2 linked regions of the Canis lupus familiaris genome follow. The protein of the gene in region 2 interacts with the protein of the main gene of each other region in a biochemical or structural test. Links are inferred from orthologs where the notes say so. Each region holds a gene or a part of one and is shown on either strand. Other genes may lie near its edges.

Region 1 (3,646 bases), on a different chromosome or scaffold from region 2:
AAAAACCCAGCGCCGGAAGCGTATGAGGTGTTAGTACTCTCCAGGGTCGTGCCGCCACCCCCTCTACCTGGTTCCAGAAGTTTCCGCCGCTCCAGCGGAAGCCCCCTGCCACACAGCGGAGTCTGCGTGGCCCTGCTGCGGACGCCCTGTCAGCGTGCTTCCACGAGGGGAGTCCTTCTGTGTCTGGCCTTGTTCACGTAGCACGATGTCTGGTTGGATTTTTTTTTTTTTTTTTTTTTGAATAAAGGCTTATTTTTGAAAGAGCAGTTGCAGGTTCATAGCAAAGCTGAGAGAAATTGGTGAGCGCTTCCCGCAGCCCTGCGCCGTGCATCCCGCAGCAGGTGGCGGCACAGTGGGCGAGCCTGCGTGGATGCACGGCGGCCCTGGCGTCCTCGGTGTGCAGGAGGGCTGGCGCTCCTTGTTCAGTGGGTGCGCTTGGACACATGTACGATGATGCGAGTCCGTCCTTGGGCTACCATATGGGATAACCTCACTGCCCTAAATACGGGGCTTTTAGTATTTTCCAGAACAACCTCTGGGGAGCAGCTCTGGTGAACAACTAGAGCATCGGGGGTTGGTGTCTTCTGCATAAGTCAAAACACAATAAACCCCTCGTGCCGCGGGAGGTCACTGGTTCGTGCTTCGGGGCCGGGGTGCAGGACAGTGGGCCCGGCCGCACGGCCTCCTCTCTGCCCTTGGCACAGGGGACAGCGCGTCAGCCGGACGCGGTCATGGCAGAGGCTGGGGTGGGAGAAGCGGGATTCGTCCACAGGACACGGCCGCGTCCGCCGTGTTGAGCCCAGGGGCACAGCTGTGCCCTCCCGTGTGCCGACAGGGGGCCCCGCTCCTGGGGGACGCCTGGTGGCCGGGGCACGACACCGCCCGCAGCACCCGGGACAGGCAATGGAAGGCAACGCTCGGTTGTTTTTCGCTTCGACTTTGAACTTGCTTCTTCCGCTGTTTTCCTAACTGCCCCTGATTCCGTTACCGTGGGTGCCCGGCCTCGTCGTAGGACCCACGGGTCTTGCAGCCTTGGGCGGACGTGCCCGCGGGTGGGCAGCGTGGTGCGCTCTCCGCGCTGCCTCGGGGTGGGGGGGCGCTGCGGGGAGTTTCCGAGGCTTCCGTGCTCTGGGGGGGACGCGGCACAGGGCGCTCGCCTCCGATGCATTCACTCCCGACCACCTTTTTGTACAAACGGGCATCGGTTCCACGATGCAGACGAGATGTGCAAAGCCGCTTCTCGTGTTTCCATGCGTTTGGAGGAGTGTTCGCTGCCAGGGCCCTGGGCAGTTATTCTCCTGAAAATGCTCCTTCTCACAAAGCCTCCTCGCCCACCGTTGCCGGGGAGCCGTCGGGGGGCGGGGGGCTGGTACGTGTCCCGCACGGAGCGTCGTCTCTGCTGGGAGCGTTCGCACGGTGCTTCTCAGGCCCGGCTGTGCGGTGAGTGCGGGGATCTGGGCCCTGCGGGTCTGGAAATGGCAGCTTTAAAAGAAAAACCAGAAACAGACTTTTTGTTGCGGAATAACGCACGTACCATAAAATCGGCCGTCTCGACCGTAGGCAAACCAGTTCAAGGTGCTGCGTGTACTTCCGTCGCCGTGATCCCTGGGGCCTTGCTCACCCTGCAGGAGGGAGCCCCCCGCCCCCCGCTCCCTCCCCAGCACCCTGCCTGGTGCTAGCCCGGGGATGGTGACCCGTGACCCGAGGTGCCCCACGGACGTGCCGTCCCGCGCCATCCGTCCTTCTGTGGCTGGCTTGTGTCGCCCGGCACCGTGTCCTCCGGCGTCATCCCGGTGGCAGCAGGTGTCTCCTTATGAGGGTGGAGCACATGTGCTTCCCCGTCCACGCGTCGATGCACGCCGTGGTCGCTCCGCCTCTTGACCGTGGGCACCAGGCCTGCTGGGAACCCGGTACCCGTATCTATTGGAGTTTCCTGGGCTACGTCCCCAGAGGCGGGATTATGGGATCACTTCGGGAGACGGCGGCGCTTATTTATAGGTTATTTATTTATTGGGTTTATTATTATTATTATTACATATTTTTTTACGACGGCAGCTTTTAACCCGCGGTTGTGTCTCTCCCCCCAGACGCCTGCAGGAAGAAGACCAGCAGCTCAGAACCTCGTCTCTGCCGGCCATCCCCAACCCCTTCCCCGAGCTCTGCGGCCCCGGGAGCCCGCCGGTGCTGACGCGCGGCTCCCTACCTCCAGGCCAGGCAGCTGCCAAGCAGGTGAGCGAGCGCCCCTGGCTCGGGCGCCGGCAGGACGGACGCCGGGCTCATTGCCATGCGAGGAAGGGGGACAGCGGGGATCTCTCCTCTTCCTTCTTTGCCTCTTGCTACTTTTTGATTTATTGTCCAGAATTCCACTTGTTAGGTCAGGGGTGCATCTGCGTGTTGTAGAAAGGGGCTCATACAAATGGTGCGAAGTAACGACCTGGTGCTTAAAGATGAATTTTAGCTCCAAGAATATTCCGTTGGCTGGGATCTCTGGATGCATGAGGCGTTTCTCAGGCCCCTGACCGTCCAAGGGTTTGCGTTTGATGTTCCTGCCCTGGAATGTGACCTGCGCACGGAAGATTTTATTTATTTATTCATGAGAGATAGAGAGGCAGAGGGAGAAGCAGGCTCCCTGCAGGGAGCCCGATGCAGGACTCGATCCCAGGACCCCAGGATCACGCCCTGGGCCGAAGGCGGTGCTAAACCGCTGAGCCACCTGGGAATCCCCACAGCCACCTTTTTAAACTAACAGTTTCTACCTTAAAAATAGGCCTGTGAGCTGCATGTTCTGGAACCGCTGTGGCCTGGGGGAACCTGGGATGCGGAGAGCGTCTGTAACTTACCCCAGGTCACATCGTCAGGCTCTGTCCGTCCGGTCAGCGTGGCGGCTGCAGCCTGGGGAGGGAGACCCTGTCGTGCTGCCGTGTGGGCAGCGGTGGCTTAAGTAGGATGCCCACGACAGGAGCATCCGACCTTCACAGGATGGTCCCACTCGCCAAGGATTGTTCTGCGAAGTTTCCATATTTTATTTACTAATTTATTCCTCAAAACACCTTTAGGATTTAGGTACAAATGTTATTTCTGTTTTTTAGTTGGGAAATAAGCCCAGCTGTCGAGTGGGGCCCCGGGGTGAGCACTGGGGCCGAAAGGGACCCCGGGGTGAGTGGTGCGGTTGGGAGGGACCCTGGGGTGAGAATTGGGGCCAGAAAGGACCCCGGTGTGAGCGGCAGGGCCAGGAGGGACTCCGGGGTGAGTGGTAGGACTCTGGGGTGAGCAGCAGGGCTGGGTGGGACCCCAGGGTGAACGGTGGAGCCGGGAGGGACCCCGGGGTGAGTGGTGGGACCCCAGGGTGAGCGGCAGGGCTGGGTGGGACCCTGGGGTGAGCGGCGGGACCCCAGGATGAACAGTGGGGCCAAGAGGGACCCCGGGGTGAGTAGCGGGACCGTAGAGTGAACACTGGGGCTGGGTGGGACCCTGGGTTTAGCAGCAAGACACCAGGGTGTGCAGTGGGGCCGGGAGGGACCCCGGGGTGAGCATTGGGACCAGTCAGACCTGACGCTGGGATCCAGAGGCTCTACCTTCAGCCATTAAACCCCGCGTTGCCCGGGACCCTGTTTATTTTCATGGGTTTGAACGACCCTTTGCCATG
Region 2 (3,646 bases):
TAACATTAGAGACTGGGAATCTTAACACAAATATCCTTTAAAATTTAGAGGACCTGACACTCTGGCTCTCATATTCCTACAGATTACATGTGGCTATGCTGAGGGGTCCTTCAGACGTGCTCCTCTGTTTTTGCCATGGTCCCAACTACTCCCTAGCCACTTCCAACCCCTACTTCAACTTCCACTCTTTCATGTTCCGTTACTAAAAATTATTTTGACTTTGGAATATTTGCCTCCCACATCTGTCTGCAGAGAGTTCTAAGTATAAAGGGAAGAACCTTGGTTTCTTTATGATTTGAGAGGGGGCCTGGCTCAAGGAGTAAGGGTTTGGTTGCAGGCTGCCCTCAGGAGGCAGCATGACAGTCTCCCTTTGCATGGCCTTGCTCTGCCCCTGCACTGGGACCTCCATAGAACTGAGGTGAGGCTGGAGTCCCCCACTGCTGTGTTCAGCGTGCAGGTGGCCAACACAAGGAACTGGCTCCAGGTACTCACTCTGTTCTTAACCATCATCTTCTCTAGGTCTTTGCTGATGTCAGCAAACACTGGCCTCTTGTCTGGTTCCTGCTTCCAACACTGCAGCATTAGACCATACCTGGCGGGAAGCACAGATGGGCAGTTATGACCTTGCAAGGATTGCCCAATCACAGCCACCACACTCAGCACAGTGCCTTCAGCCCAGAAGGCTCTGTTCTCAAACTCAAAGCCATTTCTGCATCACTGACATCCTTCTCTGAGTTGGGCCAGCATCTACGGGGTCACTAGGCCCACTCAGGGTGCCTGGTGTTGTGGTCCAGCATCTTCTGAGTCTCCTTTCCCTTGAGAGAGATTTGTTTTCAATTCCTTTTCAGACGTATTAGAAAACAGCTAACAGGATGCCAAGCCTACTATGGTGGCTGAGGGAGCAATGCCAGTCCTTCAAACACTTATGAAATATTAAGTGGTTGTAGAAAAAACAAGCAAAATATCTGCCAATCACCTGTCTTGTACCTGCCTCACTTCCTCATTTCTCTGGGTCTATGGCATGGCTGCAGGGGCCCCAGGGCTGCTATGTGGGTGTGCGCTGGGCCAGCTGCCTGCCAGCCCAGGCCACCCAGAGAGATGGCACCTGCACTCCCTCATTTAGCCCTGAGCCAGGGTAGTCAGCACACAACAGATTTTGTGGAATGAATGGACCAGTGTGTTTCTGCCTATGATGGTCCCTTTCTCATGTGTTCTCAGCCTGTCCTCTGAGAATTGTCTGCTGGAACCACCATATGTGAAGACTCTGGGGCTCCTGGGCTGTGGTGCAGGGTCCTTATGTCTGCTACCTCCTGACCTCTGTGCTTCCATGTGGGGACTCCCCAACATGCACCTGTCGGCTCATTCTGAATTACCTGCTCCTCCCCAAGTATCCTGCAGGGACAGGCCTTGGGTTTCATCTGCTCCCTGGGTCTGAGGCACCCTTTCATCCTTCCCAATTGCCGCTCATCCAAGTCTCCCCCACACCCTCAGGAAGCACACTCAGTCCCCAATGGAATCAGAGTCCCCAGCATCTGTTGTGGTGCCTAGTGGTGGCTCTCTGACTTCTGGCATGCTCTGCCCTGTTACTATCTACCACCTGCTTCACCCTGGGCTTGCATCCAGGGCTGCTCAGGAGCAGGGAGGGAATGAGTATATTGTCTGTGTCTGAGGGAGGCTGGGCTAAAGCAAAGCCTGCTCACATCTCCTCGCTGCAGTTGTCAGGCCTCTCCATCCGGTAGCCTGTCTTCAGAAGGTTGAAGAGCCGCTCTGGAGGAATCCCAGGGTAGGGGTTGCCCCCCAGAGTCACAATCTCCCACAGCAGGACACCGAAGGACCACCTAAGGGGAGTGAGACAACCAGTGAGTGGCTGTCCTGGGCCAGCGGTGTCCTCCCCTCAGCAGACGATATGTCCATCCTCCCAGCAGCTGTTCACCCCACCAGCCCTCAGTGCAAAGAGCCATCTGGGGCCTGACTTCATGGATGGATGTAGAATGGAGGTGGGGGTAAGCTATCTGCCTGCCCAGCTCTCACCCCTGCAGTGCTGCAGCCCAAGAGGGCCACTGCCCAAGCTCAGACCCCACACCCACGAGGGGTACTTGGCTGGCCCTGTGGAGATGCACCGAAGCATCAGAGACAGCACAAAGCAGCTGAGCAAGTGCAGCAAGGTGCAAGGCGGGGACCTAGGTCACGGGGATCTAGGCCATGAGACCCAGGGCTGCTTGTACCAATTCTTTCACCTTTCTTGTGGGCTTGGAAATTTTCATGAAATCTTAGAAGAAAAAAGGCCCTGACATAGAAAAATATTTAACTGTGAAGTGCGAACCACATTACAAAATAGCATTGTCACATGAGCCCACTTACAGCAACAGACAGCATACACCTGCACATAAGGAGAACACTAGAAAGCCCATGTAGGCCAGGAGCTACAGGAGCTACTTAGAGGCAGTGGGATCCAAGTGACTTCCAGTGTCTTCATTACCCTGTTCTCTGCATTTTCCAACATTTTACATACTCTCAACATAGCTGTTTTGAACTGTTCAGGAGCTGCCTTTCCTCAGCCCACATTATTCAAGACATGCACATCTGTTGATGGCAGCATACTGAGTAACAAGTCTGTTGTGTTTTTGAAAGTTATCTGGTCTTATGATTGGACCTGGAAGGCCAACTTTTAGTTCTCATTTTTTGAGCAGTTTGGGACTCACTCAAGGCCACGCTCCTTGTGGGTGGGGACCATTCTGCTCCCAGGGGAACTTGCCTGAGCCCAGCCCACACTCAGGTCCACAGCCGGGGAACTGCTTGGCTGGGCCTGGGTGGCATGAAGATGCCCAAAGAGGAGAGGGAGGGGCTGCAAAGGGGAGCAGTGAGCGGAACTTGCAGTTACCTGCTCATGGCTCTCATGCACTCCACTGCAACTCTCAGAACCACTGCACAGGTCCCTGCCATTTGCTGAATGAATATACGAAGCTCCCTCAGCTTGCAGGGAGGGGCAGCAGTCATTGCAGATGGTTGGTATGAGCCAACAGGCACTGGTGTCCCAGCCACGCTGCCCAGATAGGCATTGTGGCATATTATACATGTAACCTTGACCCCAGAAAGGCAACACCCACACTTACACATCACTTTGGGTGGTATAGATATGATCGAAAAGAGATTCAATTGCCATCCACTTGACTGGAATCCGACCCTATAAAGGGAATGAGGAAAGGCATTAACATCACTCTGACAACACCCTGGGAACCAGGGGTTAGGGGTGTGGAGGAGGGTGAGGTCATGTCCCAGGCACTCCCGGCTCTGGAAGGATGCTATGTAACGACATGCAGAGTGCTCCCAGATACAGAATTGACAGCAAGTTCCAGAGGGTCTGGAACTCTAATCTGGCATGGCTGAGACACTGGAGGGAGTCAGCTGGCCTGCCCACAGGTACACAGGGCGTGCTTGTCATGCACCACATCCCTGCTGAGAAGAAACCCAAGGAATCATGACTGGCTCACACCAGCCAGGTCCCTTCCCTACAGCCAGGTCCAGAGGGTTCTGGGTGCCCAGGGTGGTGAAGCCCAATGTGTGGGCAAACAACACCATCCAGCAAGATCTCCCGATTTCTGAGGGTGAATGAGTTTGGGATACCAACTTCCAGCACTTCCATCTT

Evidence for each region.
Region 1: the proteins of RET (region 2) and GRB10 form a complex in vitro, tested with the Homo sapiens proteins (2 studies listed by BioGRID). The link is inferred for Canis lupus familiaris from reciprocal best matches to the Homo sapiens genes RET and GRB10.

What each region holds. Positions count from the first base shown.
Region 1 is NC_049239.1:2,102,803-2,106,448, reverse strand, and holds part of GRB10 (growth factor receptor-bound protein 10), read left to right. Parts: intron 1-2,087; coding exon 2,088-2,229; intron 2,230-3,646.
Region 2 is NC_049249.1:4,103,758-4,107,403, forward strand, and holds part of RET (proto-oncogene tyrosine-protein kinase receptor Ret), read right to left. Parts: intron 3,185-3,646; coding exon 3,114-3,184; intron 1,839-3,113; coding exon 1,701-1,838; intron 593-1,700; coding exon 493-592; intron 1-492. UniProt on the Homo sapiens protein: Receptor tyrosine-protein kinase involved in numerous cellular mechanisms including cell proliferation, neuronal navigation, cell migration, and cell differentiation in response to glia cell line-derived growth family factors (GDNF, NRTN, ARTN, PSPN and GDF15).